Linked DNA regions of Arabidopsis thaliana. The protein of the gene in region 2 interacts with the protein of the main gene of each other region in a pairwise test. Each region holds a gene or a part of one and is shown on either strand. Other genes may lie near its edges.

Region 1 (8,159 bases), on a different chromosome or scaffold from region 2:
CACTCCTTTCACCGCCGGGAACTCCTGTTTGTTATGAAACACGTGCGTTATCGCCGCCGCCGTCGGATTACTCATCGCTAATCCACCCCCCACCGCAACGCACCGCGTTTTCCCGTCGACGGAACACGTGCGAACCGGATCAAACGTCCCCGGCTCCGCCCATGTGGCACGGCAAATATCTCGGAGACGAAAATCGAAACTGTCGCTTTCTAACGCGTCGGCGCGTGAGAATAGAAACGGAGCCGTGCTTGAGAGATCGTAGCAAGAGATGAGAATTGGTTTGAGTGTGTCTTTAAGCGTTAGATCGGCGAATGATGCTTTCATTGCTTTTTCTAGCTTCGCCGTTGCGGCGGTTACTGAAGATGATCCGGATCCGGATCCAGATCTTATGACCCGTTTAATCGCCGCTCCTGCTCCTCCTCCTCCACTTCCGCTCCCTGATCTGTAGAATCCTTCTGCGTTCTCTACGAGAAATTTCCAAGTGTCCTCCGCCTTGAAAATCGGGCGGTTGCCGTCTCTTGTCGCAAATATCATCGCAGCGAATACTCCACCGACACCTGATCCGGCAGCGACGTCGAAGTAATCGGCGATTCGAGCGTTTGGATCGCCGGATTTCTCTTTCAGCATTTGCTCTAAATAGATTAGGGATTTTCCCGCCAAAAGACCTCTCATACCGCCACCGTCAATGCTCAAAACGCAGATTCTTCCTCTCGGACTTCTGAAAGATGAAGACGGTGTTCCCGGGAGAACGACGCCGTTTGGAGTCAACGGTGATCTGGGAGAAGGACCTGCTTCGGAATCACCGGGTCGTAATGGACTCTGAGGAATCCATAGTAGCCTTGGGTCTTCGTAACCAAAGAGAAATTTGCTTTCGAGAATTGAGAAGATCTCGTAATTGAGCTTATCATCGGGTTCGTGTGATCGAGCCGTTGATAACGTTGGACTGGTTTGAGTCCTCTCGTAATTTCCAGGAGTGTTGGGAGCTGTGTGATTGACAAAATGCTTCTTCTTCCCTTTGGAGGAAACTGACAATGGCGGTGGCTTTTCGTAGCGCCGATTCATAATCGTTAGCTTTTAGACAAACCTTGAAATTGAAGCTTCCGTAGCTATAGTATGAGAGGTGTTTTTCAAAGACGTGTGCAAAAGATTTTAAAAATAGATTTTGATTTGGATTTTGTATGAACCAAATGGTGTATGTTAGCATGACATGGCTAAGCACTACTCGTGTGCTTGGAAAGGTCTGGTACCCACGTCCGATGCCTCCTCCAGCAAATTTAGCTCATATAGAATTTTCTTTTCTATCTTCTTTATTCTTGAGTAAACATATACTAATTTATTTAATTTGTTTAAACATAGCAGTTTATTGGTTGGTTGGCAGATATACCTAATATATCCAATCACATAAAAGTATTCGAGGAATGTTATTAATTTATCTGAGTGCAATCTAAATTATCTAATTAAAAAACAGTATAACACAGTTCACATTTTCTTACTCGAATCTCAGTTTTCACATCGAACAGTTAGATTGTGGAAGCTTTCTTAAAAGACAAGAAGAAAAGTGAATGAAGTCAAAATTTGAGACATAAGAACAGATGATTCTTCTTTTCCCAAATGGATTCCAATCTAACGTATCACAAAACATGAATTCCAAGTGAATTTTTTTAAATAAACACTCTCATGTACCTTATATATCTATAATCTTAAAATACAGCAATTTAATATATCTATATGTATTATAAAGATCATTTTATCACTGGAAGGTAAAACAAGAAATCTTCAGATGATAACAGGAACCAGATGGTGATATTATGTCTCCCTTGTAGTTTACACGGAGAACGTACCAGACAGGTTCCCAAGTGTTGCAAGTGGCGATCCTGCATCTGTGAAGTAGGACGCGAGATTGATCCCCGAGTAGTCGTATTTGTTCAAGAAAGGATGTTCCTGAAATTGTTTGACACAGAGTATGATTCAACATTTCAATGGATGAAAAACATGCAAAAGGGATTATATAAAACAAACCATCAGTTCCTTTGCAGAGCTTCGACTGTTTGGATCCTTCTGCAAACTGGATGAGAGTGTAGAGTGGAATATGTTAACTTAGTAAAGTAATCTCAGTAAAAGAGGGAGCAGGAATTTTTTGAGAGATTACCATGTGGAGATGAATGAAGATAACTCAGGGGAGAAATTTCCTGAAGGAAGAGCGGGTGGCGGTTGGTCAACAATGGCTTCCATCAACTCGAAAACACTGGTCCATGTTTCCTCTTGATTCGGAGGTGCATAAGGGAACTTTCCTGTTGCACATTCGAGTACTACTAAACCCAAGCTCCATATATCACTTTTATTTCCGTACTTGTTTCCAACGATTCTCTCTGGCTGTAAAAAGGAAAAATTAAGATTCTCAATTTTTATAACACTCGAAAGGGGTTTCAAACTAGTCAATGCTCAAGAGACAAATAAGATACTTACAGACATATAATTGTAAGTCCCCACAAATGTGTTTGCTAAACCTGCGGTGTTTGTCATAACGGTACTCACACCAAAGTCAGTTATTTTGACTTCTCCTCTGTGGTTGATCAACAGATTGGATGGTTTCAAGTCACGATGGATGATATGCCTATCGTGATGAAGATAGATTAATCCTTGAAGCACCTGCAATAACAGAACCAATAAATCACATCAATCAACCAATTAACAGTGAAGCGTATAGTTTCCTGTGTATCCTGTGTTTCTTACTTGTCTAAAGATGGCAGAAAGATAGGAGTCAGGGATGGCTTTAACTGACTTGAGAAAGTCTGCTAGAGATCCTCCGTCCATGTACTCCAAGATTAGTGAGATTGCGCCATTGTCATAAAATGACTGGTACGAGGTAACAAGATTTGGACACTGTGACGATTGATTTATTTTGAGCTCTTGTGCAATTGCCTTGCGAATTGCTTCATCAATATTTAGTTGAATGACCTAATCATATAGCATCAGAGTTATGCACAGTGAGTGACAAGGCAAGGAAGAAAAAGATTTGTAAATCTTCAAACACAGAGAAAAGATGAGGAATTTAGCTCATCATATACATAAAAGAATCTGAAGGTTAACCAATGAGTACCTTCAAGGCGAAAAATTGGCCAGTCCATTTGTGTTGAACCAGCTGAACAACACCACTACTTCCTTTGCCAATGACTTTAACCATATCCAAATCCGACAAGCTCAGCTGATCATCAGCTGGCTTAATTGGAGACAGCTGAAACACAGTCGCAAACGAAACAGATTACAAACAGTAATCTAGAAGATATGAGCTTAATCCCTGAGTTTCTCTATCCAGAACTACAGAAATGATCTTAAGAAGGTTCTAATTATGATCAGATCCACCAACCACATTACAGTTAATGCATTCAAACTCAACAAAATCTTCATATGCAGTACAAATAAACAATCAAACCTAACACTCGCGAAATTCAGTAAAATCAGCACCGAACGAGGAAGAGGAAAGACTTACGACTTCAGGCTCCAATTGAGAAATGATTCGAACTCCATCCTTGTTAACACGTAGATCTCCATCCTTAAACGTACCGCTTTGAGTCCTACAGAGAGAACCAAAACCTTTCCTCCTTCAAAAACAAAACCAGAGACATTTCCACACACAAATACATCTATCTATCCACAGATCCATGGAGAAAGAGAGATCGAGAAACATACAGGAATTTGGTGATGGATTGCTCGCCAGCAACAGGAATTGCGAGCTTGAGATTATTGCTGAATCCACCTTTCTTCATCGTCTTCGTCTACTTCGTTCTTCGCTTCTTCCTTTTTGTTGTTTCCTCGTCATTATATATTAAGTAAAACACAGTTTTAAGCATAATTCATGTACTTTTCAGCCAGAAATTGGAATTTGGAAATAAAACAGCCATTAATTAATATTAGTCAAGCACATGTTCACGACGTTGACCAACGACTTAGAGACTTTCCCATTTACTACTTCTTTTTCCCGGTTTTCTTTGACCGAAAAGTTTTAATCCACATTTTAACCGGAAACAAACCGGTTAATTCAGTGATTCTTCGTTCTTTAGCTTTTGGTTTTTAAACACTCCCAAAATCACCACTACAACAAAACGCTAACGCAGAATGCCAAACTAACGTTTGATATTTATAGAAAGTTTTCAATATTTCAAATATTGTTTGATCAAATACAATAAACACATATAACAAACAGTAAAATCTTTACTTATGTTTCTCGGTTTCATGTTTGAAGATAACAAGGTTTTCTTCAACAAGGAATATACAAATAAGCATACACCCCTATATTTGTTTTACTCATGTATACATTCAATTACACATCGAAATTATCACACAAAGAAAAATTGTTTCGAATTGATTAATCTATCTATCAGTATACTTCATGTCTAGTCTCTATAACCAACAAGAACATGCTATTCTTCAACATTGTCTATATATTATAAGCCCTATATACATTATATAGTCACAGACTCAGAGAGGCTCCACAAACGATTTCCCCAAACATAATCCTATCACAAATTGCGGGGGGCAAGAGCTACTAGAGGCAATGATCATGAGGTTCGTTCATATCTCCATCATGTTGAAGGAGAATTTCGAAAGAAGCTTAGGAATTTGCGACATGATCGGCCCATAAGTCTGCAACGCATAAATGAAACATCACAACACATAATTAAATACAGCTTGATTGACTGACCCTGTTAGTTTTACCAGGAACATCGATTAAAAGTTCACGATGAGTTAAGGGCAATGCAAGTAAGATAGTACATACCTTTTCATTTTCATGGAGTTGACACAATGGAACAGCGAGGAGTTTGAAGTTCTTAGGCACAACAAACTGTTGATGTACCGGTAATCTCACAAGAAAAAGCTTTGTGCATTCCTACACAAAAGATGAGGATAGAGCAGAGCTTTTAGTATAAGCGCAAATCTTCAAAAGTCTCAACTTTTTCTTACAATGAAAGTGAAACTAACTAACCAACCTTTGGGTGTTTAATATTAGGTGGCAAGAAAGGATACATCAATGTCTCAAAGTTGGGTCTCCACCACATCCCAATACATTCTCCTACCTACAACAATGTTGTAATTAGAGAGACCATTCTTAAGCCAGAAACAATCAGATACAAAAGCACTTTAACAAGAAGCCATAGTTCCTACCTCATAACCCGAAACACCCACATTTTCGTTAACCGATAGCTTTGATGCTAGTTTCCGTTTTAGACCTTCAATATCTAGAAGATTAAGGAGAAACATGACTTTAGCGTTTAGAATTGAGACAGCGATATTTATGCATAAAGATGCAAGGAAACAGCATACTAAACCTGATTCTCCAGGTCTCAAACGACCACCAGGAAGCTTGAAAATGGAGTTTCTATATTGAAGAAGCAAAACATGAGGATGCTTGAACAACTCAACCTGATGTGTCCCAACATTAGATTTTAATCAATCCTTTCAAACCAATTTTCCCTGTAAAACTTTTCAAAATCCCTAATTTGGCTACCAACTATAAAATTACCAGAAGAACAGCTTCAACGCAAGTTCTCAATCCATGAGCAGCATAACTTCAAAAGAAACAAAAAAGAAACTTTAGCTATAGATTAAAACAATAAGAAAAAAACCAGATGATCTAAATCACATCAAAACTCGATTTACTTGGATTTCAATCTGATGACTCGATCAGAGATAATCTCGTCCTTGACGCGAAGAGCTTCTTTTGAACCGAAGTAGTAGCTGCTAAGCGGGTATAAATCAACCATCAAGTCATGAACGACATCGTTTCGTCTCGTCGTGTTGTCACTGATCTCCTCCATATCTAACGCTCGAGCTTCTTCACCCATTTTCTGCCCGTAAAATTCAAAGACGAGAGCTAAAAGCGATCTCAATCGATTAAAATTAAATAACAGAGAGACCACGAGAGCAGAGAAGACGCAAGAAGAAGAGTGAAGAAAGGTGTCGTAGTCGGATCACTGAGACGTGGCGGCTCCAGAGAGTACTTCTCCGCAATTAGCTGACGACGGCGGGAGAGTGAGGAAGAAGATATTAATGGGCCTGTTACGATATTAATGGGCCTTTAGTAGTAAACAAGAATACGGAACGATGTTAAACACTCTATTGTTTCCAACTACTAAAAACGACGCGAGTTTCTATTTTATAACTAAAAAACGAGAATCAAAGTCTCTGTTTCAAATTTGGGTCTTTTGCTTCTTCTTGCTCACTTGAGGAAACACAGTAAAAACCTAAAAAGAGAATGAAACTCGCAGGTCTGAAATCGATCGAGAACGCTCACGAAGATTCCGTTTGGGCAGCGACGTGGGTTCCGGCGACGGAAGATCGACCGGCGTTGCTTCTGACTGGATCTCTTGACGAGACGGTGAAGTTATGGCGACCGGACGAGCTGGATCTTGTGCGGACTAATACTGGACACTCTTTGGGAGTAGCAGCTTTGGCTGCGCATCCTTCTGGGATTATTGCAGCATCTTCTTCGATTGATAGCTTTGTCCGTGTGTTTGATGTTGATACTAATGCTACGATTGCTGTTTTGGAAGCTCCTCCTTCTGAGGTTTGGGGAATGCAATTTGAACCTAAGGTAATTGACTCAATGAGATTGCCTCCAATTTTAGGGTTTTGAAGGATTTTGGGTTGTTTTGTGGTGAAAGAATTCGATTGCTTCATTGAATTTCACTTCTTAGTTGCGAGTAATGCTTCTCCTGATCTATATAACAATGCTTGGGTACTATATGGAATTGCTGAGTATCGTTTGAATCTGTAGCTCTGATCAGATAGGGTCATCTACTCTGCTCGGAAAATAGATCTAGATCATCTTCTGATTTTTCATTGAGTCTTATATAGTAGATTAAGAACAATTTATTGGTGCTTTGATGATAAATCTTGATTTGGTATGATAGAATTTTGACCTGGTGACTATCAAGTATCAGTGCAATGATCTCTCTTTTAGTTTGCAGTGGAGTTTTTATTTGCTTCTGAGCTTATAATTTCAACATTACTCTTTAGAATGGTGCTCTGCTAACATAGTATTTTACATGTTCCAAGGGTACGATCCTTGCTGTTGCAGGTGGAAGTAGTGCCTCAGTCAAGCTTTGGGACACTGCAAGCTGGAGATTAATCTCAACTCTATCAATCCCACGCCCAGATGCACCAAAACCTTCCGATAAAACCAGCAGCAAGAAATTCGTTCTCTCGGTGGCTTGGTCTCCTAATGGGAAACGACTTGCTTGTGGTTCAATGGATGGTACGATCTGTGTTTTTGATGTTGACCGCTCAAAGCTACTTCACCAGCTAGAAGGTCACAATATGCCTGTAAGGTCCCTTGTGTTCTCCCCTGTAGACCCGAGAGTCCTCTTCTCTGGATCAGATGATGGGCATGTGAACATGCACGATGCAGAAGGGAAAACGCTGTTGGGGTCCATGTCAGGGCACACGAGTTGGGTGCTGAGCGTTGATGCTAGCCCAGACGGTGGAGCCATAGCAACCGGCTCAAGCGATAGAACTGTGAGGCTATGGGATCTTAAAATGAGAGCTGCGATTCAGACAATGAGCAACCACAATGACCAGGTTTGGTCTGTGGCCTTTAGACCACCAGGTGGAACCGGTGTCCGGGCTGGTCGACTTGCTAGTGTCTCTGATGACAAGAGTGTATCGCTCTATGATTACTCATGAACAATTCGGTTTTTTGACTTTTTTCTTTTATGCATTCTCCAAGACGCATCTAGTTGTAACAATATAATCTGCAACAGGTTGATTTTGACCGGAGTCTTTAGATTTATCGCTTACACAAAAAACAAAGAAGATAAAATGATTCAAACTTTGCGATAGAACTTTATTGGAAAACTGAGAAACAGATAAAGATCACAGAGAGATGAGTTGAAGAGTAACGCAAACAAACGTCTAAAAGTTTTCAAAAAACAAAACAGCTAAAGATTATGGTCTTGTCTCTTATGACGTAAGTGTATTACTTCCTAAGTAACTCTTGAGAACATCCATGACAGCTCCGAAATCTGCTTTCACATCAACAGGAGGATTGGAGAATCTGCAAGCCATGTCAGGGATGGCATTGGAGTGATAATCTATCTTAGACTGAGTAAACTTCAACCCATGAGCAGTACTCACTACCACAGTTCGATCAGTCGGTGCAA
Region 2 (7,364 bases):
CTATACATTCTCAACTTCTATTTGAAGTTTTGTTAACAAGTTTGACTCAATGTATGTGTTATTGTTCTGTTATTTTGATAGATTCCATCTGAATCAGTTCATATCCTCTTTTGTTTTTCAGGATAAGGGCTTTGAAAACACGAAACCAGTACTTGAAACCATAAAGAACAAAGGCATAACTGCCATTGGAGCCGCAGGGATGTGTTGGGGTGGTGAGTTTTTGTTAGAAATCTATGCCTAAGAGATGTGACGCTCTCTTTTTGTCTAATGGATAGTACTTTTCTCTCTTGTGTTATTCATCTTCAGCAAAAGTAGTGGTGGAACTGTCTAAAGAAGAGCTTATTCAAGCAGCTGTGTTGCTTCATCCTTCTTTTGTCAATGTTGATGATATCAAAGGTTAGTGACTTTGCTACTTCCATCTTGATTCCTCACATAGAACCAAGGAACATTAGTTGTCATGCCTTGCCTAATGCGTTGTAACATTTAGAGTCACCTATAGGATTGCGTAACTGATCTCGCCATGATTAGATACTATCATTATTACTGTAAAGAATACTAATTCACATTTGCAAACATAAAAAACACTGTGATTGGTCCGGTTTCTTTACTTTCACCGGTCTTTGATGATCCTTATCAATTTCACGGGTTTATTGCAGGTGGGAAGGCTCCAATTGCTATATTAGGAGCTGAAATTGATCAAATGTCCCCACCAGCACTCTTGAAGCAATTTGAGGAGATTCTATCTTCCAAACCCGAGGTAAGCTGCTTTATCACCGCAACTCAACAGTGTAATTTAATCACCTTTATCTAACTTTAAAACGGATCCTGTAGGTGAATAGTTACGTGAAGATACACCCGAAAGTGTCACACGGATGGACAGTTAGATACAACATCGATGAACCAGAGGCGGTTAAAGCAGCAGAAGAAGCTCACAAGGAGATGCTTGATTGGTTTGTGACCTACATCAAATGATTTGAGAAAGAAAGAAAGGTATTGTCTATTACTTCATATATGCAAAGAATAAAAATTAAAGAGAGACAAAGCAAAACTCTTGGTTGGTGTTTCAATTTCTACTTTCTATAGTCTTTTGAAGCATTCTCTGAGATTCTGTGATACCTTTTGTTAATCATTGTTTTATGATTTTTATATGTTGACGATACGTTACCCTTCTCATCATCTTCTTGTGGTAAGCAAAAAAAGTTACCAAAACAAACTTTGATTGAAATCAATGTCTTCTTCGACTAAAGAAGTAAAAAAGATATTGTACATATATACAGAAATAATCAATTCTTCTTCTTCTTGATGAATTTGATAGTCAAAACGCAAAATTATTGATTGTTGAGACTTGAGACCTTGAGTAATTTTTTTTTTTTTGGGTCAAATGAGAGTAATTTATAAGAGTCAAAATCATTACATGAAAATGATTTAAGAGAGTTTGTCCACACACAAAAACCTAAAAAAAAGAAAACTAGTAATTGACAAAATTATACGATAAATTTATTGTATAAGAAATTGATCCATATATTATTTATATTGTTGCTTAAAAATCGTGCAAAAATGTGGACAGAAAAAAAAAACTTGCCAAAACAAGAAGATATTGCTCAAGAAAGTCACTAGGTTCTTTAGAGAAATCAAATAAAATCTCAATTCATAATCAATGTAGATTTCTCATAATTAAATTTGTATTACAAACTTACAATTATCAAAAACAAAATCTGTAATTACACAAAAAAAAAAAAGGAAAATAGAAACAAAAAAAAATCCGCAGAATATCTCCAAAAATCAATTCTACTAACACAAAAACAATAATACTAATAAATCTATTTTTCTATTTTCAAGGAAAAGGAAACAAACCTTTATAGCTCCTCTCTATCGTCTCGTCTCTATAAATAAACGAGAAGCTCACAAATTCCACAAAAATCCACTCTAACTATGAAACAATTAGGGTTTTGAAATTTACCTAAATCTCTCCGTAATCATCGATCAAAACGATGCTCGAGTGTCAATCAATGATGGAGAAATTATCACCGTTCGTAGACGTCGCCTCTCTGGAAATCGAGTCTCTGCGAAGAATCAAACGCCCGAAACGCTTCTCTGAAGAAGAATCAGAAGAAACCGAGAATACGACGAATTCATCAAACGCGGTATTCGGATTCCCTAACTTACCAGAAGAACCGAATCGCGATATGGATCAAAGCGTTTTGTGCAGAATCTGCGTTCGATTACCAGATGGGAGAAGAATACAGAGAAGTTTCTTAAAGAGTGAATCTGTTCAGCTTCTTTGGTCGTTTTGTTATTCGCAGATTGGTGATGAATCTTCTGAGAGAAAGCGGCGTTTTAAATTGATTCAAGGGTTTCCTGGGGATTATAAGAATCTTTATTTTGGATCTAATACTACTTTTGAACAATCTGGGCTTGCTAATTCCTTGGTTTCTGTTACTTGGCTCTGAAGAATCTTCTTTCGATCTGTAATTAGAAAAATAATTTCTTTCTTCTACCAAGTTTATGTTTACTCAATTTCTCGAATTTGTACTTGGAAATTGCAAATTTCATTTGGTTTTCTTGAATCGTTGTTAGATATTTCCGATCAAATCGTTTTTAGATAACACTGTTTCAAAGTCAATGTCGTCATCATCATACAAGAAGAACGTATAGTTTTTGGTTTATCTTTTTGTTGCTTCTTAAGTCACTCTTTCTCGCATAGTTTTTGAGGTGACGAAGTTACGTATACGGTGACGTAGCAAACCAAGCCCATAAGCCCAAATTCTAAACAAGCCTAAGACAAGTGAGCAAGGAGTGGGTAAACCAAACCATACCAAAATGAAACCGACAAACTCGTCGATATGTGCCAGGACCGGGCTTAGAGGGTGTGCTGAGGGTACATTTGTACATTGTCCATTACTTTTTAGTCAGATTTCTTAAAGCAATTAGGGTCCTATTTCTAAACAAGCCTAAGACAGCATCAAGTGAGCAAGGAAGTACTTCATGTTCATGCACAATTTCTAGGAATGGGAAAGACCGTACCAAAATGGAAACCGAGAAACTCGTCGAGACCGGCTTTGATTAGATAGTCTATCGAAGTAAAATATCGAACTTCGATGGACTATATTGAAGTAGATTTGTGCTCTACTGCCCTCGAAAAAAACATTAAAGTAGATTACTACTACGTCATAATAACAAACAGTCTTTAACAACAACATCATCATCACTCGATACATCTCTGCCTCTGTACAGTTTTGCTGACATATTCACAACACCGTTGCCTCAGTTTCAGCCAAGTACACTACTTCTTACTAATCCAGGGGGCCTAATAGCAGGAAACCAAGCCTACAAAGCACAAATCCCAAACACAAATTTTTGAGTATAATATAAGGACTGAGCTAATAAGTTAAAACATTTCTGATTTTTCTGATAGAAAGGAAATTTTACTATTTGGCCCTCTTTGAACACATCCTTCCCTCTCCTCCTCCTCCTTCCCCCAAAAAACCTGGAGAACCATGCAGTTGCAATTTCCTCTTTAACCCATTTCAAAGATTCGTTTTTTTTTTTTTGTAAATCTCTTTCTCCTTTGGCGAATTCGTATTCCTTCTTTTCCAATGTAAGTTCTTCTTCCTTGATAATCGAATTCTTCTTTTGATCTTAAACCAATCACTACTCCGTCGTTGTAATCGTAATTCTCGATTCACCGTTGTTCGGTTATAAGATCATTCATCAGAATCGGATTCCATTATTTCGGTGACCTGGATTTTGATTTTGATTTTGATTCTTGCTGCTATGATCACGATCTTGATATGTAAACTCTCTTCTTCTTTTTTCTGATTCGATGAAATCAGGAGTTCTAGAGACAGAGGATCACCTTCTTCTTCTTCGTCATCTTCTTCGTTACCAGGAATAGAAAAGTATAATGAAAAGGTGAAGAATCAGATACAAGCTCTTGTTCGTGTTATTAAAGTTGCTCGTACCTATAGAGACGACAATGTCCCTTCCCTTATTGAACAGGTTACTACTACTACTAATACTCATAGGTTTTTTCTACCAACCAAATGACCAATGATTCATTATCAAAGATCAAACCTTTTGTTGAATTTGACTTTTTCAGGGTCTTTATCTTGGATCTGTTGCAGCAGCTAGTAATAAGAATGTTTTGAAATCTTACAATGTTACACATATTTTGACTGTTGCTAGTTCGTTGAGACCAGCTCATCCTGATGACTTTGTTTACAAGGTTGTTCGAGGTATAAACTTATTAAAGGTTTCACTTTGTTATCTAGTTGAAGAGAGAATATGTTTTTGATTTTGGGATGGAATTGCTTGTTTGATTGTTTTTCTATGTGATAGTCGTGGATAAGGAAGATACAAATCTAGAAATGTACTTCGATGAGTGTGTTGATTTCATTGATGAAGCCAAGAGACAAGGCGGTAGTGTTCTTGTTCATTGCTTTGTTGGCAAATCACGGAGGTCAGTTTTGTTTGCTTCCTTCAATATCTAGCGGTTTTCGCCTTGTTTGCTGGATAGTATTCAAAACTAAGTACATATTTAGCCTGGATGGTTTGTCCCTTTTACTTGCAGTGTCACTATAGTTGTTGCTTACCTCATGAAGAAACACGGTATGACTTTAGCTCAAGCATTGCAACATGTTAAAAGCAAAAGACCCGTGGCAAGTCCTAATGCTGGTTTCATCAGACAATTACAAGACCTCGAGAAGTCTATGCAAGGTATGCCTTACTATAATATCTTGAGGTCTAGACTATTAGGTTGAGATCTCTGTGGTGAATCTAAGTTGGAGATACTTTGTCTGTCTGATTCAGTAGTGAGTGACCAGTTTTTTTCCTTTTGAGGATGAAAAGCAAGTGGTTGTGGAGGAGAAGACAGTTCCATGTAAATATCTCTTACATGCATCTTCCTTCTTCTCTATAAAACAGGGAAGCAAGTTACGATTGCACAATGTCAGGCGTGAAGATCATTGATCGTACCATTGGGAGAAACTTGTAAATCTCACACGAAGCATCAATCAAAATGTTTTGTTGTTTCTTCTCCTTAACAACTCGAATAATAACATGGAAACGAATTTGGAATATGTTCATGTTCTCTATTCGTTTTGTATAGTTTCATCATCATGGATATAAAAGTGAACATAAATAAAAATTTGTAAATTTTTTGTACCGCAATGAAATGTCTTTTTTGTGTGTAAAAGTTCATGGGCTGTCATTGTTTAATTTGAGCCCGTATAGTTTAAACAGTTCATGGACCTTGTGAAACATTGGGTTTTATAGTCAATAAAAAACTGTGGGGTGATTTAGGACAGACTTATAAGGTTAGGGGTCATATTAGAATTCTCTTAAAGTTGCTTCCAATTGTGAGGAGGCACTAAAACCCTAGACTCCATATCAATCAATCGAAAAACCTTTCTCTCTTCTTTCGGAGCCGTCGCTTGTGAAACTTTCCGGCGATTTAACAGAGTCATGATGGAAATACGAACTCCGAAGACTGGCAAAGCCAAGCGTGTTCTCGAAAGCCGAGCTCCTAAGTTGGTAAAGTTCTCTTCTTTTTCTCCTTCGTCCTTCTTAAAACCGAGAAGTGAATCATGTTGAGAGCTGTCTTCAATGTTGTTTTGACATCTATGAGACTCATGGGTTTTCTATTTGTCGATAAATTTATCAAAGAATCGATTGAAAGTTGCAAACTTTGTATCTGAATTGGTTGTTTTTGGAATTTGTAGGTTGAAACTGGGAAGAAGACGTTGATACTTCATGGAACAAAGACGAGTGCTACACTTAGCTCTGTAATGACGGAACTCTACCGTTTGAAGAAGGGAGGTGCCATCAGATATTCAAGGAGGAATGAGAATATTAGGCCTTTCGAGAGTGGAGGTGAAACTTCATTAGAGTTCTTCTCTCAGAAAACAGATTGTAGCATTTTTGTGGTAAGTTCATAAGCTTTGGCAGCTGTTGCATCTTGGTTTTATGGTGTTGCAACTTTGATTCTCCTCTTAACTTAGCTATGAACTGCTAGATAGAACAAAATGTTATTAAGATGATCTATCCTGTGATCTAGATTCATTCTAAGGCATCTCTGCTTCTGTCTTGTTAGTCTATGTGTATTTATTTATGGTGGAAATTGGTATGATTGGCTGATGTTATCACAGGCCTTAAGAAGTCATTTGGAAAGGTGTATTGGCAAATTAACTTTGATGCGAGTTCTAACATTGGTGATTGTTTTTATATTGCAGTATGGTTCTCACACGAAGAAACGACCTGACAATCTTGTACTTGGGAGAATGTATGATCACCAAGTCTATGATCTTATAGAAGTTGGGATTGAGAACTTTAAATCCTTGCGGGCGTTTTCGTATGACAAGAAATTCGCACCTCATGAAGGAACAAAGCCTTTCATTTGCTTTATTGGTGAAGGTTTTGAGAATGTATCAGAGCTTAAGCATCTCAAAGAAGTCCTCACTGATCTTTTTCGTGGCGAGGTGAAGTGTTTGATTCTTATGACCTACTTTTGCAGCTAATTCCATAACCAGTTTCAATTTTATTCTGATTCTATATGGATTTGGCTTATAACAGAATTTGTATATGTCTGCAGGTTGTGGATAATCTAAATCTTACTGGTTTAGACCGCGCTTACGTATGTTCAGCTATATCCCCAACAAAGGTTTTCCTTACTCATTGCGCATTGAAGCTTAAAAAGTCAGGATCCATTGTTCCGAGAATGGAGCTTGTTGAAGTCGGTCCATCCATGGACTTGGTTATCAGGCGTAATCGTCTTCCTAACGATAGCTTAATGAAAGAAGCAATGAGAACATCCAAGGATAAGCCTAAGAAGAAGGTACTAAACAACATAAAAGTCTAATATTTCTCTTAAAATCGAAAGAGACAGATGACTAATCAATCAATCTCTTCTTCTACAGGAGAAAAACGTTGATCAAGATGCAGTACTAGGGAAGACTGGGAAGATTTATATGCCTGATCAGAAGGTAAGAAAGAAAGCGATAAACGCCAATATCCGAATCTGGAGATTATTATTTTTATTATCATCCCAAACTGATATGTTTTCGATCTTTGTGCAGCTGAAAGAAATGAAACTGTTCGATAAATCTAAGGGATCGAAGAGAGAGCGGAAAGACGCTAAGCTTAAGCATAAGGAAGAGACTGTTGCCAAAAAGATGAAGGTGTCTTCTGAGTGACTCAACAGACCACTCTTGGCTCTGCATCAACAGCTTTCAATATGTGGAAGATGAAATGATTTTGTAGTGTAATGAGCTTGACTTTTATTTTTCCATTAGAATCTATAACTGAATGTTTTCTATACGCTAATATTTTATTAAGGTGATTTTGTTTTGTTAAAACTCTGCAGCAAC
Region 3 (7,326 bases), on a different chromosome or scaffold from region 2:
ATTTATTCGAGTCTACTGTTTTGATCTAACATTTCGGTTATTGAATATCAAAATTTACATTTAACTTATTTCAATAGGATTAACTTTTTTATTACATTATTTCATTAGGACTAACTTTTTAATTACATTAGCTGCGTAAAGCTTGATTATATTGATAAGTATGTAGTTATATAGATGTCCAAAACATTCCCATGAGAAACCACGAAAATTCAAAGTTGCGTTGAATGATATGAATATTAAACTCTATTTGGGGTGTTAGTGTGTTACTATTTTGAAAGATTCAAACATTTGCAAATTTAATGAATTAAAGAAATGTCCGCCGGAGAAAGACTATAGTTTAATGTATTAATGGACATAAGCCAGTGTCTAAATATACGCCGGAGTATATGGTACATCCACCAAGGAGATCGGTTGGATCGGATTATGTGGAAGCATATTTTATCAAGACATTATTTATTGTTTTTAATACATAAACTCGAAGTTTAGACTTAAATCTTATATCCAAAATATGCAAAAAACCGGGTTTTCAAAATTATTACATCTTTAGAAACTTAAATTGTTTTCCATACAAAAAAATTAATAAAACTTGTAGATTGGATGACTTGATAACCACCGGAAAACAATTTCACCACTCAAAATTGAAAACTGGTGGTTACATAATTCTTTAGTTAAATTACTTAAACTTTTAAGAGTTTTAGTCAAAATATATATCCAAATGCATGCGGTTGATTGTGCTTGTAGTTGTCTAAGAAAAACATATAATAACCCCCATATTCCTGTTTATATTTCATTGTTATGATATTGGTGTTTAGTTGACAAACAAAAAAAGTTCTTTTGGTATTAGATCTCCTACAACAAAAGTCTAGATTACGTCAAGACATTTGTGTATTAATTACATATAAATTTCATGATGTCTAAAAATTGAACTCGACCAACACTATTAAGTTAAGTTATTAAATAAGAACTAGCAAGTCATTTTCTCATCTTTTACATATTGCAACAATGTGTTTGTGAAAACGCAAAATGATTGATGTACGTATACTTCGGCCATTTTTTCTTGTCGTGATGGCAGGATTTAAATTCTCCAAAATTCAATTCACTTATATATAAACGGTTTTATTTCTGATCCATCCAATTTTTGTTTTCCATTAGTAAAGCATTGAATTTCCTAAAAACTTTCACAATTAGAACATCATGGTGTAAATATTTAAGTCTAACAACACGTAATTATTGTGAAAGTAATGTGCTGCAAATGGGTTGTATTAAATAAGCTTGGAAATGGAAGAACAAAATGGTTTTACTGTATATTAAAAATACCTTGTCATAACAACTAATTTAAAATGAAGAAAATTATGATCTTGGGAAATTCCAAACAAATCCACTAAATCCCAAGACAAAAAGATCCATAGAATGCCAACTAATATTCCACAAAGTATCTAACACATTCACATTCTCCTTGAGCAACCCAACCTAAAAGTTAATCCACATTCTTTATTTTATCATTTTAACCACTCACACCAACATTGTTGGTCCATGTGCTTGCTTATATGTGTGTGCGATCTCTTTGTTCTATTTTAATGTTATTGGGTTATTCTTATGTTACTGCTGGATCTTTGACATGATGATCATTTGTATCAGCGTTGCCTCTATGTGATAATCAAAATTTAAACTAATTGTATATGTATGTGAATTGTGGGCAACGTAAAAGAAATTTATGCAATTTCCGTACTACCTAACTTGATGTTGGGAGATCGATGAGAGCGACTCAAACTGAATCATTCTCATTAATCTTCCAACACTTGATTATTATCCTCAATATAAACAATCACGTTAAGAAATTGCAAACTGTTTTCTTTTAAGAAAATTAGAAAGACGGTTTTTAAGGAGGAACTAGATTGTCAGTATTTTATTTTTTTATTTTGGCTAACAAAATAATACTTCTTTATTTATAATTAAACCATTGACTGAACTGACCGGACTATATAAGTTATGTTTTACAATGGCGCAACTATAATTTGATATGTTGTATCAACTTGTAAAATCAATCAAGTTTTGAATCCGGAGTCATCTGATTAAGGTAAAGATGTACATTTTAAGTTTTAATAGAGCAAAAATCTCAATTTTGCAATAGATAAATTGTTATAGATAAAAACAATTTTTAGGCCGAAATTCATTCATTTTGGACTTTCAGGCCAATTATAGAGTTAAATTCCAGTCCATTTTGCTGGTCCATGATTAGGTATGGACCTAAATCTCTCTTTTTTTGGCAAGCCCAGTCTAAAAAGAGAAAATACAATCCAGCCCAATTGACTAAATCTCTCTGTTTACATGACCTATTTTTGGTGACAAATTTTAACAATCTGTTTGGAGAAACAGTTCACATGGATAATTTTGTCAACAAAGAAGAAAGAATTGAGTAAATTGCTCTACTTCACACCTGTCAAAAGAGGTTAATTCACCAACTACATGTGTGACCTGATACGTGCACGTTATTATCAATATGTACGTCTAAAAAACCTTAAGAGTTTGAATATTCGTATTTCGTAACACTCTCAATATTCAAATATTATCAAAAATAAAATAAAATATTATCAATAAGATTTGTTAGTTGGGTTGGGTAATCTATCAAATACACTAATACAGCAAATCATTTCAATTTCACGACAAGTGGAAACTTTTCATTATGTCACTTTGCTTAAATCTTCACCGACCATTATGTCACTTTGCTTATATGTAAACCTTTGACTTACAATTTGGTTTTCTAATTAAAAAAACAATTAATGAAAAACTGTAATTTGACCTGACTAGTAAGTTAGTAACTCAAGACAAATAAACACCAAAAAGGAATGAAAATAAAATTTATGTATATTATTTTATTAATTTTATGATTTCATGCAAAACAGATTGTGAATGATTTGTAATCATATTTCGAAAACGTCAAAATGTGAAGAAATTACATACAATATTGTTGAGTTTTCTAATTAGGTGATACTTCAATTTTGGAATTAGTCATGTGCTAGAATTAAGTACGTGTCTACTAATCTACTAATATATCAGTTATGTGGTGTAAACTTTTAAAGCTCTATACTTTCTTAATATGTAGTATATTATCGAAGGATCAATGTTGACATTACGATGATAATGACATTTACGATTGTAATTGAATATTCTATAATGCCAAGATGTGATCATTTTCGTTTCTTACTCTTTCATAAAATTCTTTTGGTGTTTTAGGGACCTTTCAAAGAGACTGCGTTTCTAGGTCTTAGATTCGAATCTTGATGCTTGGAAATGATTAGTTCTTGATCTCAGTGATTACGAGTCCAAGACTCAAAACACTTTGGTTTAAACTTTTTTTTTTTTTTTTTTTTTACTTATATTCCATTTCCATTGTTTCTATATCTATGGAAATGAAAAATAATTCATTGATCTTTTCTATCTAAATAAAAAAATTCTCCTTCGGTTTCAAATTATTTTTTATTGTTTGTATTAGAAACAATCAATTTTTCTAACATAGTATTAGTTTTTTAAGCATTTAAAGCAAAAAAAAAAAAAACAGTTGACCAATAGGCTATATATATGTGTTGGTGGTATACAAAAAGTGAGATTTATTTGTATACCAATTCTGAAACATTTCCAAATATACCACAAGAAAAATCCTATTTCTGGAAAAAGCCCTAAAAACAGAACAGAGGAAGACGAGAAAAACAGAGAAAGAGAGAGAGAGAGAGAGAGATCGTCTTCTTCTACAACCTCTCAATAATCAAACAAAAAAACGTGTTTTTTTTTTTTTTGCGAATTCGATCTTCGATCAAGAAGATCTTGATCTCAAAATCCAAACTTTTCTTCACCATTTCATGAGAATCTCTCGCTTTCAATGGCGGATTTGTTAAGAAAAGTGAAATCGATAAAGAAGAAGCAGGATCAGAGCAATCATCAAGCTCTGATCCTTGGCAAATACGAAATGGGTAGGCTTCTTGGCCACGGAACCTTCGCTAAAGTCTATCTCGCACGAAACGCTCAATCTGGAGAAAGCGTAGCGATCAAGGTAATTGACAAAGAGAAAGTTCTCAAATCCGGTTTAATCGCACACATCAAACGCGAGATCTCGATCTTGCGCCGTGTTCGTCATCCTAACATCGTTCAGCTATTCGAAGTCATGGCGACGAAATCTAAGATCTATTTCGTAATGGAATATGTTAAAGGAGGTGAATTGTTCAACAAGGTAGCTAAAGGAAGGTTAAAAGAAGAAATGGCACGTAAATATTTTCAACAGTTGATCTCAGCCGTATCGTTTTGTCACTTCCGTGGTGTTTATCATCGAGATTTGAAACCGGAGAATCTTCTTTTAGACGAAAATGGAAACCTAAAAGTCTCTGATTTTGGTCTTAGTGCTGTTTCTGATCAGATTCGACAAGATGGGTTATTTCATACTTTTTGTGGGACCCCTGCTTACGTGGCACCGGAGGTTCTTGCTCGGAAAGGCTACGATGGAGCTAAAGTCGATATTTGGTCTTGTGGAGTGATCTTGTTTGTGTTAATGGCAGGGTTTCTTCCTTTTCATGATCGGAATGTTATGGCTATGTATAAGAAGATTTACAGAGGAGATTTTAGGTGTCCGAGATGGTTTCCGGTTGAGATTAACCGGTTATTGATTCGAATGTTGGAGACTAAACCGGAGAGACGGTTTACAATGCCGGATATTATGGAGACTAGTTGGTTCAAGAAAGGTTTTAAGCATATTAAGTTTTATGTTGAAGATGATCATCAGCTTTGTAACGTTGCTGATGATGATGAGATCGAATCGATTGAATCGGTTTCGGGGAGGTCTTCTACGGTTTCTGAACCGGAAGACTTCGAGTCTTTTGATGGGAGGAGAAGAGGTGGTTCGATGCCTAGACCGGCAAGTTTGAATGCTTTCGATCTCATTTCGTTTTCGCCAGGTTTTGATCTTTCGGGTTTGTTTGAGGATGATGGTGAAGGATCTAGGTTTGTGTCTGGTGCTCCTGTTGGTCAGATCATTTCTAAGTTGGAGGAAATCGCGAGGATTGTGAGTTTTACTGTGCGAAAGAAGGATTGTAAAGTGAGTCTTGAAGGTTCAAGAGAAGGAAGTATGAAAGGTCCATTGTCAATTGCTGCTGAGATATTTGAACTGACACCAGCTTTGGTTGTTGTTGAAGTGAAGAAGAAAGGAGGTGATAAAATGGAGTATGATGAGTTTTGTAATAAGGAGTTGAAACCTAAGTTGCAGAATTTGTCTTCCGAAAATGGCCAACGGGTTTCTGGTTCGCGTTCTTTGCCATCGTTTTTACTTTCTGATACTGATTAGGAAGATGAAAAATGAAGTTTTTGTTTCTGTTTTATTAGTTTTGTGACTCATATGTGGGGTTAACGACTTGTAATGTTCTTGTTCTTTGATGGTGTGTGAGAGACATTAGAATTTAGACCTAAAGAGAGTGGTGAGATATGAATCATTGATGTGTAGAAAACACAGATGGAATAAACAAGTTTCTTTATGAGTTTGCTTCTTTTTTTTCTTTCTTTTTCCTTCTTTTGAATTTTAATTCTGTTAGTTTGAAATATGACAGAAATTCACTTAGAACAAGATTGTGTAATTTCTGTTGGAAATTTTGTCTACTAACGTCAATTAATATGACGGTTTATGATATATAATTGAACATGTAGAGTTTACAAAAACAAAATCTTGAGAAGAAAGTTTAGCATTATAATCCAAGCCACACCATTAGCTAATCCAAATTTGTGTTGTTCTTTTAAATATGTTATATTCTAGTCATGCACCTTTAACCATAAACAATTTATTAATCCATTTATTTCTGTCACTTTTCTTTACTTCAAATCTTTGTGTAACTATTGACCCCAATTAATTAAATAAATAAATCAACAACAATCTAAGATATGTGATGATGATTGCAGCCATTATCATAAATCTCATCTTTTACACGGAGATCTAAAGAAAAACAACCAAATCCAGAAAAATATAAGATGAAAAACACATTTAATGTATCACTTCAATCTTCTCATTGTTGCTATTGTTGTTGTTTCCTTGCCATTTCCAAACAATATCTTTCAAAGAAGGCCTAAGCTCACGATCACAAAATTGCTTATACTCCATTGTATCACCTCCACTTTTCTTAAACTCAACCATATGAAAACTATTTGTCACTTCAAATATCTCAACATCAATCGCAAGATGTCCTTTTCTTCCTTCTCTCTTATCTTCCATCTTCACTCCTACATCGCTCTTCGTCAAATTGAATCTCTCACTACTTGTTGCTATCTCCTCGAATTTCGACACTATCTCTTTTGCATCTTTCTTCGTTGTAAACTTCGATTCTGATCTCTCTTCTTTCTCAAACAAACCCGAGAGATCGAATCCTTGAGACAGCGAAGAGATCAAGTCAAACGCGTTGTAAGACATCGGTTTTACGGAAAAAGCTGCGTGGACATCGCTGATCAGTGAGTCGATCTGATGACTTTCGGGAGATTTAGGCGTTTCGATCTTCTTGAAACCCTTTTGAAACCAGGAATTCTCCATGATTTTTTCAATCTTGATTCTTGAATTAGGGTTAGGGTCAAGAATCCGAGACAACAACTTCTTGACCTCGGGAGGAAACCAATTCGGACATTTGAATTCGCCTTTCGTGATTTTCCGATACATTTCCACAAGATTTTGCTCGTGAAACGGAAGAAATCCAGCCAATAGCACGTACAACACAACCCCGCAAGACCAAACATCGGCTTTAGCTCCATCATAACCTTTCTTGCCTATCACTTCAGGTGCCACGTAAGCAGGTGTTCCACATGTCGTGTGAAGCAAGCCATCTTGCTGCTTCGACTCCCTCAACGCGCTAAGGCCAAAATCCGATATTTTCAAATCGCCGTTTTCGTCTAGAAGAAGATTCTCCGGTTTGAGATCGCGGTGGTAAACTCCGCGGCTATGGCAATAATCGATTGCTCCGATCAATTGCTGGAAATATTTTCGAGCAATGTTTTCTTTAAGCTTTCCTTTAGAGACTTTATCAAAAAGCTCACCGCCTTTAACGTATTCCATAGCGAAATAGATCTTTGTCTTGCTCGCCATTACTTCATGGAGGAAGACGACGTGGGGGTGACGAACGAGACGCATCACTGATATTTCTCGTTTGATTTGATCGATTAATCCGACTTTCGCAACTTTCTGTTTGTCGATCACCTTGATCGCTACGCTTTCTCCTGTTTTTATGTTGCGTGCGTGGTACACTTTTGCGAATGTGCCTTGACCTAGAAGACGACCTAATTCATATTTTCGCATCAAAACTATGCCGT
Region 4 (8,070 bases), 3.4 Mb from region 2:
AGTAACTAATTTATGGATCATGGAGCTTGTTGGGTTTGTCATTTTTCCTTGAGAGCTTTACTTGATCCTGTTCTTGAAGAGAAACTCGACGTTTCTCATATTGGATTTGCTCCTTCGAGCTGTGAGCTTGAGAACTGCACCTTCTGAGAGCATCCGTTGCACCACCCTCGTGATGTTCTTTGTGTCATCAATGCCCAGATGGTGGCTTCCCATGAGTTTTATTCCACACTGCCTCATCATTGACACCATTCCTCTTGCCTGTCATGTCATCTACTATTAATGAGTTTACAATAACATACAATAAGATGATGATGCATAGTGATATCTCCAATTTACCTCACGGCCATAGAAATTCAAGTAGACGTCTTTGAGATTGATCCACTCCATAAAATATGGCGGAAGATTGATGTTTGAAACTACGCATTGCTCAGGAATCTTTGTCTTTATATCCCAGTTTCCACTGATAACATTAACATAATCAGTATCCCAAAGGAAATCAGTAATGAGAAACTCAAAGATTTACATAAGCAGCCCCATCTCTTATCATTAATTCTCACCAGGTTACAAAAGCTGCATCGTTCAGACCCCAATCTGTATCTTTATCCCACAAGTCATGCTCAGCTAACCAAACTTCAAACTCCTCAACAACTTGCTTAAATGGAATAGCTGTGTCATGCCACACACTACAATTCGATTTTTTAAAAGTTAGTGCGACAGTCTCAGAATCCAAAGAGAACCAAAAGAGGTGTTGGGAGAAGTCTGTGGAGTGTGGACTCTAAACCAATTCTTAGGATTATCATACTTAGCAGAGTAGTCAATTATAGCATTTGGTAACGCATGCATTAAGGATTGACTAGTGCAACTAGACAGAAAACATAACAAGCATTGTAGCCATATAAATATATCTACACCTAGAAGTAAGATAGTAGTAGCATACCGATCAACCCCGAGTTCCCCATACTTGCCTTCGATGTATTTGTTAATTGCTTGCTCGCTCATTTTGGTGGGTCTTACAAACCTTATGAAGAAGTATAGAGAACAAATAATCAACCACATTGTAAAATTGAGGAGTAAAATTATTAGAGAACAAGCAATAATTAACATTGTGGTATCTAGCTATGACCAATAACATTCTGAAAGAAAATAAATTTCTGAGGTCTTCTTATGTCTAAACAACTCACTAACAGTTCTTACTCCAATGACACAAAATCAACCATCCAAACAGCCAAAGACCTTACGATTGTTAAGAAAAGTAATGCCATTAAAGATAGGAAGCTGTTATGACCTGTGGAATAAGTCTACGACTTCCATGGTTTTGGCATCTACGATCAAAATAGGAAACTCAAGAATCTCAACTTTTCCTTCCAAGTCAATAACCAAGAAAAAATTGAATTCTTGTGACTTCTTTCTCTCAAGATCAGCAGCAGCCACTCGAAGTTCCTTTGAACAATCGTGGTTAAAAATCTCCAAATGGGCAGGATCATCCATCTGATATCATCAACATAAACTTTATTACCCATCATTCACGATTATTTAGGTATAAAAAACTAGTAAAGAATAACAATGTAACGATCGAGACACAAACAATAAACAAGTTCCAATCTCGTTCAGACATTCCATCGAACAGGTCGCAGACATTGCATAGTTGATTCAAATTTCGCATCACTTGTTTTCGAACAAGCATACGGAGCAGGAACCAATCAATAAAGAAATGGAATTTAATTCCGCATTCCGCTGTAGCAAAAACTAAATTTAAAAAGAACGACGAGTAGCAAAGTGTTTACCTTTGTACACTTTCCGTGGGTGTAATACAAGCACATGGGTCTCCACCTTGCATTTTCACTTGTTTCCATTAACGAAAAAGTAGAAGGAGAAGAAGAAGAAGAAGAAGAAGAAGAAGAAAAGTCAGAGGGAGAAGGAGATGGAGATACAGAATGCGAAGAGTTGCACATGATTCGTTTGGTATGAGCTAAAGCCAACGTGGCGGGATAAGAGAACCGGGTATCACGGAAAGGACTGATTCTGGACAACGAAACCCTAAATGCAGAGAATGCGGACGCCATTTTCGTCGATTAGCATGAAGATTGAAGATGAAGATCTTCCTTTCGAGTACAGGGACTGGGAACTGGGAAGCTAAAAGCCTTTAGTTTGTTTTAGTAACCAATTCAAATCGAACCAAAAATTGAATTTGAAAACCAAACTGGATTTATATCCACACAAACTCTTAACCAATGCCAAACCATACCATGAAAAACTAATAAACCGAGTAGACCTAATAATGGTACTAAATCGAAAATTCTGACTACAAGAAATGAAATTAAGCTTTGACTAGCCTCAGGAAATGAACGTAAACTTGGCAAAAAAAACAGCAGTTGAATTCAGAATCGGAAGAGATCGACTATTTACATCCTCCATAAAGTGGAAACAATTGGTATCAAATTTCACGTTTGATAAAATATACCGAACGGACTAAGAATAGCAAAAAGTTGTGAAACATATGGCTTCAACTTGTTTCATTGCAGCGCTTAAAACCCGGTCCAAGAAATGTCTGATCTCTAATCTTCATCCACATCTTCTGTGAAGTCTTCAATCACTTCAGCCCTATTAGATTGTTTGTTCAACGAGCGCATCTCCTCTATTTCAAACTTCAACATTGCATCACAAATCACTTTGCTATTCTGCAGTTTACCTCGGCACCCTGAGGATTTCAAGAGGTCATACAAATGACAAATCAGCATGAAAGAACAAAGTAATGGTGTCTAAAGATGTTTTTGAGCAAGAACTATTTTACCTGCTACAGGACAATTCGCATTTGGATTGTTGACTATGTAATGCAGGATTACAGATTTTTCATAGACGTGCCTGCAATCCATACTGCAACCATAAAAAGGATCAGAGAGACATGGTATCAGTTCACCGCACAATTGTATATTATTATTTGATTAGTTCTACTGCTACACGAAAGATGAAATCATATTCAAGCTTTATGGTCATGTATAGAAAGAAGTCAGTATCGACTGAATATGGCTTTTGAGGATCATCCTACATAGACATCAGGCATGGGAGAGGACAAGCAAATCGTCCGAACAAAACAAGACATCCAAGTTAAGGGAAAAAAGACAAGAAACATCCATTGTACCTGCGAACTGGATCTGCTAATTCAGTGACAGGCTTCCCGCTCAAGGGACATGTCATGTTTAGAAGAGGGCACTGAGTACTGGTCATAACAATGTCCTCATCATCGTCACCAGGCATTGGTTCACCTGCATGATGAACATTCTGCAGCAAAACATTGACAATAACTTAAAAAGGAAATCGGACTATAGACCTATTAGATACAAGCCAAGAACTTTAAGTTAAAAACATACCCAAACTGCTTCCCTGAACTGGCGCATCAAATGATCATTTTGTGGCACTGAGGAAGGTGTAGCCTTGAGCTTTGTGAATTCATCATCAAGCAACTTTTTAAAGTCCGTTAACTGCAGTCATTAGAGTAAAAATCAATTTGCTACATCTAAAAGTATGCAACCGAATAAGAAATTAGATAACACATGAAAGAGGGAAAGTGAGTACTTGTTCCACGGGTTGGTACCGATTTGCAACGGATTGAATTGCTGTCGAACGGTGATTACAATCACTATGCAAATCCAATAACTCAGCCACAGAATTTTCAAGGTCCTTAACCTGTGGAACCCAAAATATAAAAATGAAGAGCATATATAAAGAGCATTTAAGAAAAACAAAGACAGACATCAAGGAAAGAGTGTTGGCAAGAGCAGACAATAATACAATGTCAGAATGAAAGAGATACGTGATAACAAGTTTTACAGCAATGCAATTAACCAAGAATCAATCACATTAGAAGAAAGTCTAGGCAGTTCCCACAAGTTTAAGATAAGGTCACTTATGATTAGCCAATACAAAAACTCAAGGAGATGAATGAAACTACTCTACATTGTAGCAAAAAAAAAAAATGTAAAACGGCTACAAGTGCGTTTATCCCTGAAAACGCTTCCTCTCATATCAGACAAAATAATAACCAACCTTGTCCGTTTGATTTTCTTTCTCCAATTGAACTGCAATGTTCTTCATCATTGCCACAGCTTTGCGGATATCCTGCAAATAAAAGTAAAAACAGATACGAGATAAAGCAGATTCTAGGCTATAAATTTTGCCCAAATTAGAAATCCCTTGTTCACTTCTAACTAGTCAAACCCATTATAAGCCGAAGCTCCTATCTGTTAACATCTCGGAGGAAAGATTTCAGGAACTTCTCAGAAACCTATATTTACATCAAAAAAAAAAAAGAGTGAATTTGGTTTGAACGAAAATACTCACAGCAAGCGTGGAACTGTTATCGGAGACAAGAACCAAAGAAGCGTTCTGAATCCTTCCGGCAACTCCGTCAGACGAGGACGCCGACGCCATATCTATCGCTCCTTCGCTCCAATTTTCTCTTCCGAGGTTTGTTTTGGAGGGAGAAATCAGAAGACGGAAAGAGTGAGAGAGCCTGCGATATACGGAGGTTTGCTGAATAAAATGCGTGCCGTCTTATGCTACTATAAGCGACACGTAGTTAATTAATCCTATTAGAAAACGTGAAGAAGACAAGTCGTACCGGCCGAACGAAGTCGTACTGGCCAAACGATGTCGTATCGCTGCAACAAGCTATAAAAAGGCCGCAGCCAATCCATAGCCCGTCTAGGGGGTTTGCTTGATAAACTGTGTGCCGTCTTATGCTACTATAAACGACATGTGGACAAGAAGAGATGGCATGTAGTTTAAGGATATAGATCTTTGAATAAACGACGTCGTCTTCTTTCCAATCCTCTTTCTCCGGGACTCTGGAGTCGCCGAAGCTGAAACTTCTTCATCCATCATCATATCATATGAATTTTTTCTAGTGATCTTCTTTTTGATTGAGAACATGAGTGATCAAGAAGGAGACTGGGATTTTTACCTCAGAATCCTAAGCAACAGCGCGCGGGATTCTACGGATCCTGCTTCTGATCCATCTATACTACAATCAGTACGCATCTTTTGTCCATTTATTGAGAATTGGCTTGAGACTGGTATTAAGTGATACATTGCTTTCGTTTTGTTTGAATGTATATGGATTAGGTGAAGAAGCTGCATGGGTTCTGTAAAATGGAGAAATCAGATGATCTTGTGGCTAGAATTTATCCACAATTCAATAAAGTCTTCCATCGTTCGGTTGCTTCACTATCTCAGTCCGAGTCAGGGGCGTCCAAAGGCCTTCTCTTGCTAGTACATTATTCTCCCTGAAGAATTTCAGATGAAAGTTTGTTTTTTTACGTTTTGGGTTCTAGTGTGTATTAAGGATTCTGTGTTTGTGTGTTTAGGCCATTCTTCAGTTTTTTCTTGATTTTGGGGATATGGTTCTGCACGATTCTGACCCAAGTTTGAGGACATTCTTCCGCTCATGTCTTAGCCGGTATGGACTACCTTTTATGTCTTGACTGGGTCTTGTTGTGGCTCTGTGCTCTGAGATGTGTGCTACTATGCGTTTATGTAGATAAATTTTGCTGATATGATCATGATTTTCTTTGTAGTGAGTTCTCAGATGCCGCTGTGGCAGAGGCAACTTGTGAATTCCTTGTTGTGAACCAAAGAAAGCTCTTAGCATCTTTCCCAAACTTACTCCCTCAGGTATTAACTGGAATGACTAGCCATATAAATCCTTAAACTTTCTTTTAGCTTTCAGTCTCAAGAAGATTACTCTCTTAATTAGTAAAGTGCCTCTATTTATTGTGTTATTACTGTGTGCATCAACATATGTAATAGAACTGTATCTTTCTGTCCTTATAGCTTTATGCAATCTAGCTGTTCCTTCTGCTTTCATCTTTCTTAATTTGTGTCCATTTACATTTCCACCGCTTGAACAATTAAGCCATAACAGATATATTATATCTCTATCTAATTCAAGAAATTGTATTTGCAGTTTTTCCCGTTGTTGCTTAAGCTCATTGCCTGGAATTGGGAGAAGTAAGCTGAAAATATGCACAAGTGATTTGAACAATTATCTCAAGGAAATAAATTTTCTTTGTTCTAATTTCAGGTTGGAGAAGTCCTTCCTGAAGATATTTCCAGGACTGATATCACCTGGGTCATTTCTTCCTCTGTTTCCATCCATTGTAGACTTGCCAAGTGAGTCCGCTTGTCTAAAAAATGCTACTCGACTTCATATATTTGTTTGTACTCTAATTTGGAGACCACTTGGATGACTCCAACTGTACTAAGATGTATTTGTAAGCTGACTGGTTTCCATTGTTTTGAGCTTGTTTGGTATTTCTCCATTGATGCTTGGACTTTATTCTCTCAGCCTGATTGAGTTTACGAGTGTACTGTGTACTAATTATGTATCTTCTTGTTAATATTTTTGCTAGTATTGGTCGTGGCATTAGAAAAGGTGGAAAGGAGCTCGGGGTCGGGGTCAAGGGTTGGAGGTAGCATTGCTTCAATTCAGAAGAGTGCAGCTCCGGAGGTCTTATATCTCATAAAAACATAAACCATATGACAGTTCTTAGATAGTCAATGAATGACAAGGATACCTGTGAATGCAGATGCTTCTTGCCCTTATGGATGAAGCATATACTGGTTCAACCATCGGGGATGGAGGGGATGACTCTGAATCTGAAGATAACAATACAATAGATGTAGCTGATCCTCTGTTTCTGGAGCTTCTGAAGGACGAAAATGATGGTCTAGCGGTATGCATCCTTCCTCTGGCTTTGCTTTATTCCAAAAACTCAACAGAAACAGTTTTATATAATAATTGTCTATTAGTAAAAATTTAGGGCCTATGTGAAAGTTGGTAGTTTTTTAAACTGTCTGATATATTAGACAAACTGAAAGTATTTTGTCAAATTTGTGCTGCAGGAAAGACACCGCGCTTCTCCTACATTGAATGCAGCGCTGCAGGCTGCTGCAAGTGGTCCTCGGTCAGAGAGGATGAAGCAGACTCTTAAGATTGCTCCCCGACTTCTTGATGTCTACTTTAGTGTTACATTGCGAGATGCAAATGACTGTAAGATAATTTACAGCCTTCCTAGTTTGTTTTAGTTGCTAAAGGAATATAAGTCAATTTCCAACTTAGTTAGGCCGTTGACAACTTTATCTTTTGCAGCTCTGATCTGTGCTTTAATCCCTCTACTCATGACAAGAAACTCTACAATGTTTCCGGATAAGATTTTTTCTCATGAGGTACACGCATCTTCTGTATTGTTTTTCTGAAGACTTTCCTTAGAAAATCATTAGAACAGGCTAATTGACAATGTTTATTGATTTCTCTCCTCTAGATATGAGTGTAGCGTCCATTAATATTTCTTCAGAAATGCCAATGCTATTTTGACGTTTTAGTGTATAGACCTGTATCACTGCCATATTGGACGTTATCTTACAGAGATATTGTTTGCGTACACAGATCCGTAGGAGGCTACTGGAATTTGTACTAGCTGCATTTCAGAGGTCTCCAAATTTCATTGCCCTGTTGAAAGTAATGTCTGCCTATTTTATTTTATTTTTTTGTGCGAGTAATAGCTTTAGAATTTAGATAAGAAGATTTCACAGTGCATTATTAGATACATAGTCTTATGATTACCGCTTATTTTCTCGAGTAATTTGCAAGATATGCATTCTCAACTTCTTAAATAATACAGAAGCCTATTATTGACCGACTTGGGGAAGCTTACGATGATGTTGCAAAGGTCAGTTTCTAATATTTAGACGGATGCTTTGTAAGATAATCTCCTCTAAGCATTTTCTTCCGTAGAGAGAGTTAGCCTTACAGCTATGTTGGGCAATTGGAGAGTATGGTGGTGGGGGAGAATCTCACAAGGAAGCTGCTCGAGAGCTTTTTGAAAGTTTAGAGTTGCTTGTATATGAGAATCTCTCATCAAGGTATTACAAACTTTTGTTTGTGTATCATCAATCTGCTTTCTTGGACAGAAAACATAAATGGTAATTACAATGTTTTCCCTATTTGTTTCCAACGACCAAAAAAGCCGCCTAGGTTTGAGGCAAGAATCTGGGAATGGTTCAAGAAGAACA

Evidence for each region.
Region 1: the proteins of DSPTP1 (region 2) and MKK2 interact in binary tests that used the Arabidopsis thaliana proteins (3 or more experiments, as listed by UniProt).
Region 3: the proteins of DSPTP1 (region 2) and CIPK19 interact in binary tests that used the Arabidopsis thaliana proteins (3 or more experiments, as listed by UniProt).
Region 4: the proteins of DSPTP1 (region 2) and HPY2 interact in binary tests that used the Arabidopsis thaliana proteins (3 or more experiments, as listed by UniProt).

The regions. Positions count from the first base shown.
Region 1 is NC_003075.7:14,591,475-14,599,633, forward strand, and holds MKK2 (MAP kinase kinase 2), read right to left. Parts: upstream 3,830-8,159; 5' UTR 3,768-3,829; coding exon 3,691-3,767; intron 3,603-3,690; coding exon 3,491-3,602; intron 3,236-3,490; coding exon 3,101-3,235; intron 2,959-3,100; coding exon 2,734-2,958; intron 2,650-2,733; coding exon 2,467-2,649; intron 2,374-2,466; coding exon 2,150-2,373; intron 2,066-2,149; coding exon 2,020-2,065; coding exon of another isoform or gene 2,005-2,019; exon of another isoform or gene 1,942-2,004; coding exon 1,825-1,941; 3' UTR 1,565-1,824; downstream 1-1,564. Other genes in the region: PLP8 (PATATIN-like protein 8), read right to left, coding at 1-1,062; homolog of CFIM-25, read right to left, coding at 4,573-4,644, 4,778-4,888, 4,989-5,075, 5,164-5,237, 5,328-5,421, 5,522-5,567, 5,659-5,843; VIP3 (Transducin/WD40 repeat-like superfamily protein), read left to right, coding at 6,254-6,592, 7,057-7,683; MTO2 (Pyridoxal-5'-phosphate-dependent enzyme family protein), read right to left, coding at 7,960-8,159.
Region 2 is NC_003074.8:8,474,684-8,482,047, forward strand, and holds DSPTP1 (dual specificity protein phosphatase 1), read left to right. Parts: upstream 1-3,438; 5' UTR 3,439-3,596; coding exon 3,597-3,598; intron 3,599-3,833; coding exon 3,834-3,999; intron 4,000-4,099; coding exon 4,100-4,235; intron 4,236-4,338; coding exon 4,339-4,459; coding exon of another isoform or gene 4,460-4,490; exon of another isoform or gene 4,491-4,570; coding exon 4,571-4,716; coding exon of another isoform or gene 4,717-4,760; exon of another isoform or gene 4,761-4,809; coding exon of another isoform or gene 4,810-4,838; exon of another isoform or gene 4,839-4,852; coding exon 4,853-4,968; 3' UTR 4,969-5,158; downstream 5,159-7,364. Other genes in the region: AT3G23600 (alpha/beta-Hydrolases superfamily protein), read left to right, coding at 122-212, 307-396, 657-757, 832-972; AT3G23605 (Ubiquitin-like superfamily protein), read left to right, coding at 1,992-2,450; AT3G23620 (Ribosomal RNA processing Brix domain protein), read left to right, coding at 5,464-5,532, 5,721-5,924, 6,231-6,476, 6,590-6,832, 6,915-6,980, 7,074-7,190. UniProt on the Arabidopsis thaliana protein: Has a dual specificity toward Ser/Thr and Tyr-containing proteins. Dephosphorylates MPK4 in vitro.
Region 3 is NC_003076.8:18,581,065-18,588,390, forward strand, and holds CIPK19 (CBL-interacting protein kinase 19), read left to right. Parts: upstream 1-3,611; 5' UTR 3,612-3,877; coding exon 3,878-5,329; 3' UTR 5,330-5,526; downstream 5,527-7,326. Other genes in the region: CIPK20 (CBL-interacting protein kinase 20), read right to left, coding at 6,017-7,326. UniProt on the Arabidopsis thaliana protein: CIPK serine-threonine protein kinases interact with CBL proteins. Binding of a CBL protein to the regulatory NAF domain of CIPK protein lead to the activation of the kinase in a calcium-dependent manner.
Region 4 is NC_003074.8:5,099,655-5,107,724, forward strand, and holds HPY2 (RING/U-box superfamily protein), read right to left. Parts: upstream 4,506-8,070; 5' UTR 4,429-4,505; coding exon 4,339-4,428; intron 4,117-4,338; coding exon 4,045-4,116; intron 3,685-4,044; coding exon 3,574-3,684; intron 3,480-3,573; coding exon 3,369-3,479; intron 3,280-3,368; coding exon 3,140-3,279; intron 2,875-3,139; coding exon 2,792-2,874; intron 2,699-2,791; coding exon 2,556-2,698; 3' UTR 2,190-2,555; downstream 1-2,189. Other genes in the region: AT3G15140 (Polynucleotidyl transferase, ribonuclease H-like superfamily protein), read right to left, coding at 58-258, 337-460, 558-683, 938-1,018, 1,286-1,488, 1,785-2,063; AT3G15160 (AP-5 complex subunit zeta-1), read left to right, coding at 4,928-5,029, 5,122-5,268, 5,364-5,455, 5,574-5,670, 5,963-6,006, 6,080-6,168, 6,408-6,505, 6,585-6,731 and 6 more. UniProt on the Arabidopsis thaliana protein: E3 SUMO-protein ligase that modulates cell cycle progression and functions as a repressor of endocycle onset in meristems. May function downstream of the meristem patterning transcription factors PLETHORA 1 and 2 (PLT1 and PLT2) in root meristem development.